2 linked regions of the Neodiprion lecontei genome follow. The protein of the gene in region 2 interacts with the protein of the main gene of each other region in a pairwise test. Links are inferred from orthologs where the notes say so. Each region holds a gene or a part of one and is shown on either strand. Other genes may lie near its edges.

What was found.
Region 1: the proteins of potential E3 ubiquitin-protein ligase ariadne-2 (region 2) and ubiquitin-conjugating enzyme E2 L3 interact in a two-hybrid assay, tested with the Drosophila melanogaster proteins (2 studies listed by BioGRID). The link is inferred for Neodiprion lecontei from reciprocal best matches to the Drosophila melanogaster genes ari-2 and Ubc10.

What each region holds. Positions count from the first base shown.
Region 1 is NC_060262.1:33,679,496-33,684,530, forward strand, and holds ubiquitin-conjugating enzyme E2 L3, read right to left. Parts: upstream 3,195-5,035; 5' UTR 3,064-3,194; coding exon 3,037-3,063; intron 2,671-3,036; coding exon 2,575-2,670; intron 1,519-2,574; coding exon 1,332-1,518; intron 1,038-1,331; coding exon 871-1,037; 3' UTR 553-870; downstream 1-552.
Region 2 is NC_060264.1:31,209,652-31,217,835, reverse strand, and holds potential E3 ubiquitin-protein ligase ariadne-2, read left to right. Parts: upstream 1-1,911; 5' UTR 1,912-2,071; intron 2,072-2,731; coding exon 2,732-3,254; intron 3,255-3,357; coding exon 3,358-3,589; intron 3,590-3,703; coding exon 3,704-3,821; intron 3,822-3,930; coding exon 3,931-4,155; intron 4,156-4,284; coding exon 4,285-4,497; intron 4,498-4,747; coding exon 4,748-4,903; 3' UTR 4,904-7,397; downstream 7,398-8,184.

The sequences.
Region 1 (5,035 bases), on a different chromosome or scaffold from region 2:
GCTCTGAAACATTTCATAGATTCATTTATTTTGTCATCATACTATTTACTCCACGTAGTTGCAAATAGAAGTCGAGACAATAAATGAAAATATAGCATTCGATGAAAACTGAAACAGATTTCCAATCTTTGATAAATAAGCAACAAGTGCTCTCTTCAACCTCTCACCAAATGGCGTTTGAGCATAGTCCTATTGCAACCTCAAGCCAATTAACTGCAACTTTAAATTAGAAAGTAAAGGACCAATACGCTTACTTCTCTAGATATCGAATCATTTCTCTGACTGATAACCAATCAAGCAGCTCTGAAAGCACATTCTTGACAAATTTGGCACAAAGTTACTCATAATACACAGCTGTTTAAGTCTTGTATAATACACACTATTCCCGACCACAAGCTCGTGAGTAAAAAATAAAAATAGTAACGAACTATCAATTATGTGTGATATGATGTCAGTGTACGTTTCCAAAAGGCTTCTTCTTGAAAGTGGTCTTACCATTGTATTGTCGCGATCATTTGATCCCTATTATGAATTAGTAACAATAACGGAAAATCGGGTATTGACATCAATGGCTACCAAAACCGCCCTTGATGGCTTCTATTGAATGATATACAATATTTATTATTATAATTTATAATATTATTAAAAGTTCTCCATCTTATGAATAATTATTATGATTTTCATTTCTTTTTCTTCAATTTTTCTTCTTTTACTCTGATTCTCTTTTAAATCAATTAACCAATACTGTACGATGGGATTTCAGCCCTGAAGCTAGCAACATCCTGGTTTTCTCTGAGTCAAGTCAGGGTACCAATTAGGTCATGAGGCGGGCGGACAAACAGGCATCTCGGTGAGTTAGGCTAATCGATGTTATTCTGCTGAAGCCGATTCTCGCCTCTTCTCTGCATGTTTTTTTGTAAACTCCTCTGCATTCTTGAAAAACTTTCTTCTATCTTTCAAAAATTCTTCTGCTAAATCTGCTCTCAGTGGATGCTCAGGTTCAGGATCATTTACCAATGCGATCAATGCTTGAATCACTAGAGATGAAGGTATAACAAAAAAGTGTCGAAAAAGTTATGTCGGTTATTCATTTTCTTGGGCTATTTGTTGTATCAGACATTTTAAAGTGGTTACTAACATCATCAAGAAATATGTTATTAAGAATGAATAAATAAAAATATGCCGGAATGACTTTCTTAATTAAAGGTGAACGTATGAATAATGTAAACAATTGATTTTTACAAGAATACTGATAATTCGATTCGTGGAACATGATTGTTGATCAAGAATATTGAGATAACTATTACTGTTGAATATTACAACCACTTTACCTTGATCGGTTTTTGTGGCAGGCTTCCAATTTTCAGCACTGATGATTGCCAAACACACCTGACCCTTTTCATCAATGTTGGGGTGGTATATTTTTGTTTTGAAGTTTATTCTTGGTGGTTTAAATGGATATTCTGCTGGAAAATTTATTTCGATACGGAAGGCACCTTTGTTGTACGGAGGATCATCCTGAAATTTTATTGGTAGATTAAATTTAATCATCTGACAACTAGAATAGTTATAATTAACATTGTTTAAAAACTATAAAATACTGATACATTTTCAATTGCATCAAAGCATTTTCTTCCAATTTTGTTCTCACATTGGTTTCCCAAAAACAACGTAAAATTCAAGATTCTTATGTAAGTGTAACAAGTTCATCGACATGGTTAAAATTTCAAATTACTAGAGTGGAATTCATATTAACGGACATGCAATTTCAGCAATTCATCGGGAAGAAATATTTGAATTTCAACAACTGTCTGTAAAAAATACAATATTTTTGATCATCTTTCAAGTGATTTTATTAGCAGTTTGACATAAAATTTTTTATTTCCGATGAAATATATTACAGTTCATGAAAAAATTAGATTTCATATTTTTTTTGTTTCTCTGGTCGTGTAAACAATTACAACTGAATCAAAACACAAGCAAAATTTACTATTGGCAGTAACTTGTACCTACTACTACATGAAAAATTTCAGTTCTTGCTTAAGTTCTCAAATTTCAGGGAACTGATTTGCTCCACACAAAGTTTTTAACCAAATTTTAATAAAACGAACCCATTACTTCATTGGTGCTTTAATTCAACTTCAATACTAAACAAAAACAGATTGGTATATGTTTTGAATCGAGTGTGAGGTCTGTTACCAGTTCAACGATCATTGGTTGATGTATATGAATAATCATCAAGGAATTCCTCATGCATGTAAAGGAAGTACAATTCAATGAAGCCTCCTAATAAACTGATATTTTGATGTTAAAATGATGACACAATTACGACCTTCATTTAATCCTATAATATCGGAGCATGCTTGTGCTTGTTCAAATACACAAATACCACTGATGAATCATGCATGCATGTAAGGTGAATCTGGAAAGTTCATAGAAACATGCACATACTTATACATGTGTATATATACATATATGCATGAATACCTCTGCGTGAATACACAGAAGCATACAGAGCGGATTTGGAGCAGGTAAGTTAGGTTATGTTTGAAACTAATTACAAATATAACATACCGGTAAGATAAGACCTTGCCAAGTAAGAATATTAGCTTCGTCGACTTGGATGTTGGTAAAATTTTTCATGGCTGACGCCCTCAAGTCACTTAGTTCCTGCGAAAAAAAAGAACAGTTAAAACGTGACAATGGTGGTAGAGGAAAAAAACGAAACACTTAAGTGGTAATCCTAGTAAGAATGATTCATAACGCAGGTAAACTTAATTAAGAATAATAATTTGAAAAACTTCGAATGATTGTCGGATTCAATAATTAATCAATTCATAACGTTTCCCGCTGATAAGAAAAATTGTAAATGCTAAATTGGTCACTCAAAAATTTTTGACATTTGTCAACGGGAAATAAAAAATAACTCCAACACAACGTTACGTTCCCGTCCTATGTGTCTTTTCAGGTTATAATCATTAATTCTAATCATATATAAGTACTATGGAATGAAATTGTTGAAAAATGTCAAATTACCTTCTGCAGCCTCCGTGTGGCTGCCATTTTGAATATAACAAATTTCACTAAACTGGGCGGAAGTCGTCCGTTCAAGAAACGTTGGTTCGGAACCTTTTCAGAACGCAAGACTCCCGCTGTAGTTGGCAGTGAATGGCCCAGAATTCTCTGCAATGCGCGCTGAGAATTTATCTCAAGGACGTCATGGCACGGAACGTGTGATCCTACCACAGAAATCACTTTTCACTAATTATCAATACCAGATAGAAGATCTCGCTTCGCTCTTCGCATCATTTGCAAATTGTATTTTCATTTTCGTTTTGTGCGAACCCGAGAATGTTTCATATTGCATATCAGTTATTCTATTATAATTTATTCAACATTCGTCGATTGAAGTTTGCCTCCAGTTTCCGTACACAAATGTTATTGAATTTGAATATAGTAATATTTTACCTTGTCTTGCTGGTAGTCGTTGAAACCCTCGTAGCTAAGTTCAAATCGTATGATTTGCATGACCTTACAGGAGCTGCGGGATAACTGCGTTCGGTTTTACTTTTACTATGGGGTTTATTCGCTACAAAATCATGGTTACTAATAAGCTCATGAATGGAATCAATACATGCCTGTTATAAAATATAAACTAAATTTTTTATTTGTTAATATTAACATTATAATCTACATAAGGACATTCTTATAACAGCTGCATTACCGTTGCAATCAATAATGCAGTACGGACGCCAATATTGTATTTTGTAAAACTGTATGCACATGCATAATAGACTTATATGTGATAATGTAATATTATTTATATAATTAAATCGTTTACAACATTAGAGTAATTATTCAATTATGCCGATTCGTGACACCTTACACACTAGTATGAAACTTCGACTTGTTTTTTTACAGTCACATTTGCACCTAGAATTAACGTTGAAATTTTTTGTATGATTTAAAGAAAGTAAACGTACAAAATTAGTCCAGTCAAAATGTTTCTGAAATCGGCCTTCCGAACTAGAAAGCTGATTTTTTGGGGTAAGCCGTGTTTGACAATCACAAAACAATATGTTCCGAAGTATCAGGGTTGCAGCACTTAGGGTACCGAAAAAAAATTAAAAAGAGTGGAAAAACATTTTTAGCTTATAACTTAAAATCTGAACATAAAATTGAAAAAAATTTCAAAGGAAAGTTGTAGAGCACATGAACAATCTTCTATTGAAATTATTGAGATTTATAATATTTCAGAAATTTATTTTTCTACTTCACCTGTCCAGTACAATAAAAATGTGAAATTTGTCTACTCTCAAGGTTTTAAGATGGGAGAAAAAAATGTAGAAAGAAATGCTCGATGATATCAATATCAGTCTGATGCTGTGATAGAGCTTTCGAGAATTTTGAGTTCTACAAAAACAATTATACTATAATTTCTCATATTAGTTTGAATGCTTTTTTTTTTAATTCGAAACGTCAGAAACGAATTTCGGTATAGTATCAATTCACGTACAACATTTAAAAAGATTTTCATCTCATTTTATTTCGGCCAAATGATTTTTATCATACGAAGAATTGATCTGCATTTTAAGCATGCGAGGAAGCACGTTGAACGCGGCAATAAAAGTAAGTAATCATAGCTCATAAAAGGAGTGCAGGCAAAACAAGCGGTTTAGGGTGGCTATAAACCAGCCCTCGAACTTCCCGTTTCTATACTGCAGGTCCCATCATGGTTCCAAATTCACAAAAAAAAAAAAAAAATAATAACATCACATTCGAAATTCGAACTGTAAATTCAAATTCGTGATTAACGATTTACGCTACTGAGACCTCAGATCCCATATTACATCGCACATTACAATTTTGGAAATCTAACTTCAGATTAGTTATCGGTGAACCAAAGACCTCCGACTAGTAATTTTTACCAAAATTCGAATGTTTAACAAAAAATATTCCAACATATTCCCCATTTTGGGTTTCGCAAATCTGACCTCAAATTCGGGACGAGACACTCAAGAAACCTTCGAGTACC
Region 2 (8,184 bases):
TACGTATGTTAGTAGATTTTCTTGGACATGCTATTGAGTGATCGTTACCTAATAAGTTTCTAAACGAGCATCAGTAATTTGAGATAAACATCACTAGACTAAAAATAGAATTCGAATCTGAAATTGGGTTCAAAAATATTATAGACAAAACAGGACGGAATGACACCTACCAAAAGGGGGACAACCAGCTAACGAATTCCACCAGTAATATTTTCAGCGGGAAATATCAGCTGCGACTTTCCCCTAACCTAAGTTACCAATGAGTAATAAAAAGAAATAAAAGCAATAAACAGATTTTCTCGGGCATCAGTTCAGCCACAGAGTGTCCAATGTATCCCATACAAGTTATCAGTACCAAAAATTGATCGAAATGAATCCTTCAACGAAGACCTTTGCAATCAGCATGTTCACCACGATTCGGGTGAAGAAGGTTCACTTTTAACGTCACATAGCTCACTGTTAGCTACAAACAAGGGGTCGATTTCCTCAGAGGGAGGAAGTGGTTCGACTTTCACTCCAGGCATTTGGATGTCTGTTGTGGAAAACGGTTCGCTTTCATCAATGAACAGTGGTTCGACTTTCAAAATCAGCAGTTCAGGCTCGACAGCGATTTCCATCTTTTCCTCATCTTCAGACTTATGGGGTTCTTTCTTTTTTCTACCGCCTTTCCGACGCTCGTACGGCCCCATCTTAGTTTGTTGGAGAACCCTTCGCGCCGTAGACTTGGCGACACCAATTTCTTCAGCGATGTGAGAGATGGGTTTGCTCGGGTCTTCGACGACTTTGAGACAGATGTCCAGCTTCACTTCATCCTTTAGTCGCTTCAATGGCTGGATCACTTTTACTAATTTTCCATTGAGGTTACCCGTCTCGCGAAATTTTTTTATCACGTTTCTCACCGTTGTCGAAGACGGTATCGGCCTGCTAGGATACGTTGCCGCAAAATGATCCGTAATGCTCCTGTAGCTCAATCCCTGCTCACGCTGCAACACCATCTGTATTTTTTCGGCTAACGAGTACACGTAATTCGGCATTTTTATTCTTTCATTGATATGTCAAAACGTCAACGTGTGGATCAACAATTATCGAGATAACTTTGTGTCCGGAAGAATTCGCGATACTGCCCTTATACGAGTACCGACTACATCTGGAGATAACCGGTCCAACGTCGGTCTAACAACAACTGGAGCTAAGTCTGTGGCTCAAACCTACAATTCTGTCCGCTAAAGACGCTGCGCTGTGCGGTGATAATTTGGCGCGTCTTTTGAACGACAAAGCTTTGACGGCTGGAGGTCTTCGGTCAACGGCTCAAGTATTGACTGAAGAATGTACAAAACTTCAACCAATTTTCATGAGCTAGGGTTCATTTTCTTCGTTAATTAATTTCCGACAAGGTAATGGTGTCAGATTTTCTGTTACGACTCTAATTTATTCTGAAAAAAGCATGATTAGTAAAATCGTTGTTGTTACTTGTCAGGGTTAACTGAAGAATATATCTTTAGTCAACGTTGCCAGACAGTGACGTTAATGTTATCACTTGCGTCGACGGAAGAATTTATTTTCATCAACGACATTTATTATGAATAGTAAAATTGGAAAATGCGCACACGCACAGAACAAGTCTGAATTTACCTGAATTATTCGCATTAATAATCAAACTATCGAGTAACCATATTATTGTACCTGCTATTCGCGGTTTTCAACTTTCGTCCTATTTGCGGGGATATCGTTCCAACTAAATTCAAATTACTGAAATTCCTCAGCTGCTCGATAGTTTCATAACATTTATGTCACGACGGCTATTTTTTCAGTTTACCTCGTTACCGACTGAGGCTGCAATTTTCTACCTTATCGTCGAGGGGAGGACAATCGGTACGGCACGTCTGCCGGCACGTCTGTAATCACCCTTTCTGCGTCTCTCTCTTGACGTCGTGTATAGTGGGGGGAGCTTTTACACGAGGTGGTCTTCTGTCGTGAGTGGTGTTACCCAAGTTGAGGATATTTAGAGCATTATTTTTGCAACGTCAGTTGTGATTTTAATGCATTTCTCTTGATAATCGAACGATCCAAGGTACGTGTTCAGACGAATATTCCCAAGAATTCAATGTTCGAGTTTCACCCGAATGAAAACTGTAAATCCGAGAAAACAAATTGGGAACCTCATACATCTATTGTTTGCATGTATATTCTCCTCGTTTGTTGTTCTACGGTATCAGAAACGTCATTGTTCCCAATCATAATCTGAATAATAATGTTTTATCTATTCTTGCAATAATTAGGACCGCAAGAAATAAACGGTCTCCACAATTTGCCCACTGTACACTCAGAGCCTTGACGAAATTTCGTAATTTTTTTCGTCTCCATTCCCTCTCTCACTCCAACTCTCTTAACGTATTTATAACCCCGATTCATCCTTATATTCGAGAAAAGAACAATCATCTATTCAGCTTGAACAACATCGACACTGTTCCATCAATTCATGCAAGCATCGGTAAAACCAAATTGATCGCTAATAAAAATTCACCATCCTAAATCCCCCATGTCGAACATACTTTTGCCCTGAAGAGTATTTTTTCTCAATCATATTTCGCTTGAAAGTTATTTGTCAAACTTGTCCCTTATAACCAAACAGTACGTTAACAAGTTTGCCATTTTTTCATCCTGATTTTGTATATACCATGCATTTTTGGGATCAAAAGATGCAGCGATACTTATTTTCAATACCACGCAGATGTCGGGCGAAGAATATGAGAGCGACATGGATTACACGGATTCGGATTGCGGCGATCCAGGATACGACGATTATTACAATAATCAGCAATGGGGCAGCGAGGCAGACAACGACATTGATTCAGAGCAGAACAAAAAAGATCCGGAATATGCGATTCACGAGTGCCTCAAAGTCGAAGAGGTAGAAAGACTTTTAAATGAGAATGTCGAAGAACTGAGTAATAGATTACAGATCACGCCATCCCTAGCCAAAGTATTGTTGCATGCCCATGAGTGGGCGCTTCAAGATATTATCCTCAAGTATCGCAACGACGCCTCCGGTCTTTTGGTTACTTCCAAAATCAAATCCTCCCATGAACCGGACAGCAGCATAGCCCTCAGAGGTGCAAGGACTGGAACATGTTTGGTTTGTGTTAATACTTTGTCCCTGGAAAGATTCGCCGCTCTAACATGCGGCCATACCTTCTGCAAGGACTGCTGGTGTATGCATTTCGAAGTTCAAATTATACAAGGCATTTCAACCGGTACGTTCGTCAACTTTTCATAGGTTTCATTACAGACACAACAAGATCCATTACTACTCGTTCATACAATCGTACTATCGTATTATTGTTTCATTTTCTCTAGGAATTGGTTGCATGGCTCAGGACTGCGAAGTACTTGTGCCAGAAGATTTTGTCCTATCTCTCCTTACCAAATTGACAATGAGAGAAAGATATCAGCAGTTTGTCTTCCGTGATTACGTCAAGTCTCATCCGCAGCTTCGCTTTTGTCCAGGACCGAATTGCCAGATAGTCGTACGCTCCAAAGAATTGAGAGCCAAAAAAGTCATCTGTTCCTCTTGTAAAACACCATTTTGGTAACTGCGATTATTGATTGCTTAAGAAAACGTTTTTTTATTCTCTGGCAAATTTGGTATTCATTTCTTGTGGGATTTCAAATCTGTTTATCTTTCTTGTCCAAACATTTCCAGCTTCAGGTGTGGTATGGATTATCATGCACCAACCGACTGCGGTACGATAAAGAAATGGCTTACTAAATGTGCAGATGACTCAGAGACTGCAAATTACATATGCGCTCACACCAAAGATGTAAGTGAACTGAAATGCTGGCTAATTGTGTGGGTAAAAAAAACGCCTGCCCTTATTTAAGTGACTCGTATATTATGAAGTAGACCAACACATTCGTAATCGATTTCAGTGTCCAAAGTGCCACATTTGCATAGAAAAAAACGGCGGGTGCAATCATATGCAATGTTACAATTGCAAACACGATTTTTGCTGGATGTGCCTGGGTGATTGGAAGGCACATGGCAGCGAATACTACGAATGTTCACGGTATAAGGAAAATCCTAATATTTCTCGTGAAAGTGTCCATGCACAAGCTCGGGAAGCCCTGAAAAAATATCTACATTATTATGAAAGGGTAAATAAATAAATACTTATCATATAATATTCAACTCAGGCGAAAGGTTGTGGTAAACTGTTTTACTTTACATCTGAGCGTGAAATCCTGTAAATTGCTCGTTTTTAATCGACCGAAATCTTATTACAGTGGGAAAATCACAGCAAGTCGCTCAAGCTGGAAGAGCAAACACTGGAAACAATAAAATCTCGCATCCACAAGAAAGTAATGCATGCCAGTGGAACATGGATTGATTGGCAACACTTGTTTGAAGCTGCTTCTCTTTTGGCCCGCTGTAGGTATACGCTCCAGTACACATATCCATATGCTTATTTCATGGAGGCAGGACCGCGAAAAGTACTGGTAAGTAAACATAGAAATTCTTCATTTGTCCATTGAAAATCAAGTCTAAACGTTCATTTCTGATATGTGTGCCAGATAAATTAGATGTCGCGCTCAAACTGCAGAAGTTTTTTTTCTTTATAGAAAATTCAACAGTCTCCTTATCTTTATTTAACTTATAAAAGTTAGAGAATTTTTTTGTCATTCGTTTTTCAATAAAAGAGAAAGCGAATGTTTTATTCTATTCTGTAACTATGTTTTTTTCATGCAGTTCGAGTATCAGCAAGCGCAATTGGAAGCAGAGATAGAGAATCTATCTTGGAAAATTGAGCGTGCAGAAACAACGGATCGTGGTGATCTTGAGAATCAGAAGGACATAGCCGAGAAACGGCGTGTAACTTTGCTCAAGGATTTTTTAGAGGTCTGATCCGCGTCTGAATCAGATCGCGGTTTATTATCTTCCGATTAAGACATAATTTTCAATTATGTCCGATAAATCATAACCAGGTTCAAAAACTGGCAATAGAGTCCCCTCTGCTCTTCACGGCAAAGTAGGTGGGTAAAAGAGTAGAACTGAAAGAGAGAATTAATGAATTACTGATGAAGAAAACTAAAGAACCTAGTGATCTCTGCAAAAATACTAAAACACAATTATCGTACAGTTATTTGAAATTTAACGTTTTTATTAGATTGTGCTGCGTTTCTCAATGCAAATTTCCATTATCATACAGGTCATTCGTACTTTTAGCTAATTATTTTTAATCTCCCGAAACATGGTAAACATTCAACAATAAAATAACCTCGAAAATATTTCTGAGAGAATAAAATAACCGAATAAAAAATGGAACATCAGCTATTTCATGCGAAATTTGATTTAACGGTTTGCAAAAATTATTCCATTTACATTTGGCTGTTGCAAAAAGAATACTACACTACACAAGAAAAAAAAGAAAAGAAAATGAATAAGTCAGAATTTGATTAATCATAATTGAAACGAAAACAAAGTAATAAGGCCGAGAATAAGATATTGTAACCAGCGAAAAATTACATAGTTAGCATATTTCAGATTATTCAGACCGTCGTGGTTGTTGTAACGATCGTGATAAAATGAATTTTAGTAATTGAAATTAAGTTGTGCAAAACATTTAAGAAAGTTTGATTCGAGTTTTTGAATACGAATCGTGAGTTATCGTTTGTTGAATATATGTAAGCAAGTAAAACGACATCAAACGGTACAATGATACATGGATATTTATTTTTCATATCAAATAATTAACTCTGTATCTTCGCACAATATTTCCTTCCGAATAAAATATCAGACATTTGACAAAAATGTCTTACACGTAACGAGGCAATTTGTTTTGATCATATACTAGTTAAACCGTTTGATATAGATTTACTTATGTGTTAAATTGTTTTATACTAATTAGTGATTACAAGTTGTATTGCCTGTTTAATGATTATATCATTTTTGTTTCTGAAATTTTTTTTCCCCATTATTACCATTATTATTATTATTATTATTATTGTTGTTATTATCGTTAAGTACAGTTTGTAATGTTTTTTCGTTTCTCTCATCAGTTAGTTACATAATTGTTTCAACACAAAACGATTCAGAAAATCCGAACAATTACTGACTCTCAATAAATGGACACTGATCATAGTAATTATTTCAATTTTAATTTAACACAAACAAATTGTACTCTTGTAAAATTTGAAGAAAAAAGAAAAAAACGTGAAACTTTGATTCTTATGAACGTATGTATGAATATTATGTATATTTTTTCTGGTCTAATCATTTTTTATTTATGTTTCTTATTTATACGAACCAGTACAATTATTAATAATATTCAAACGTACAGCAAATTATTGTCTGCTTAAAGCTCGTTATATGAAATGCAGTAACATCCAAGCCAGGGATTATATTGTAAAGAAAGTCGTTCTGAGTCTATGGGCAGTGAAGCAATAATTCATTTTTATTACTGTTTCATGAAAGAAAAAAATCGCAACGATAAAGTCAGCTAAATGTGAGAATTTGCAAATAAACTTTATGTATTTTTTTGGCGGACGCGTGCGTGCGTAGTTTATCTTGCAATAATCGTCCAGGTCAGTAACAAGATAGAAAAATGGAAATGAGAATATGAATTATAGGCAATCGGTACTCCTGTATAATTGTATAATAAATGAATTTTGGCTTTTGGTTTTTTATTTTATTTTTTTTTTTTTTATCTGTTCCGATAAAGATGTTACGAATTTTCAAACTTATACGACTTAATTCTTGGACTTGGTCACAGCAAGTATATCGTTAATAGCGATTAAGTAAAGTGGTTGGGTGATTTTTATTACCGATCATAATTGTTATATTAATGAAACATAAAATAACGAGTACCTTAAATGAGAAGAATAAAAGAAATGAGCAAAATAGAGAGGGTTGATAAAGAAAGGAATCTAAGATAATTTCAGAAAACTTTGAAAATTAGAGTAACTGTACTGTAAATATTATTAGATTAGTGTACGATTATAATGTGCGCGAAAGATTGTGTGTGACGTTTTCTATGATTACGTGTAAGATTTTAGGGAATTAATAAACATTGTAATTTGTAATTAACGCTTCAATCTACGAAGCTCAAGCATAATTTAATATATTTCTGGTATTCCAACGATAATTATTAGTTTAAGATTAATTATGGTCCACAAGTTTATCGCAAGAAATAAGAAATTTAGGAAAAAATAAAATATCATTGTAATATTTTACGTGGAAATAAATTCGATCCTCGTTATATATGTACGTACGAATTAGTCATTTTATTTCATTGCTTATAATATTCGTCTACTTAAATCAAAAATACTAGTCTAATTTATCCCCCTCCTCTCAATGTCTAGAAATAATCGAATCATAGTTCAGAGCCAATGCCGAAACACTTGATGAACAAAAACACACATAAATGGATTTTAAAGATAAAATTTTCCCAGCCCAACAGTTTAATCTGCAGATACAACAAAAGTGGTTGAACTCGCTTTCATCGCTTCTACCTGAATTATAATTTCCAGCAAAATAGAACAAAAGTATAAAAAAAGGTTTTGTTTATTAATTAAAATTTACACACTATAGTGTATCATTGATAAATTTTGCAATATTTATTATTTAACGCAGATGATAATGTACAATAATTCCTGCAGTCTAATGTGTTGAAAAATCATGATTTTTTTTTTTTTTTTTACTCTTGCACAATTATTCTCAAATTTACAAATACGCGATAAATATTTGTGCACATTTTATTTTGATATATTTAATGTAAATAATAATAAAATTGCATCAAGTTCGTTTATGTAATGTATACCTATATTGAAGTACTTGAACGTACATACGTACAACGTTTTGGAGAAACGTATAGATTATGAAATATGAGAATACTTGTTTTAATTCCGTCCTATGCCGATAATTAAAATATATATATTATCGAACGACGATACTTTAATATTTAATCTGTAAACACAATGCTGTATGCGTTTGATGCGAGACCGTTTTTCATTTCGTAAGTGCAAAAATTGTTCAACGTTGTTAATTAATTGACCATTCTCTAGGTTTTATCAATTTCATCTCCTACTGAGCACTGATATTTATGTGCGTATTAAATTATCCATATTTTTACCATCTCAACAATGTCATATTAAATGTTGAATAACTTTGTGCAATTTTTCTTCTTT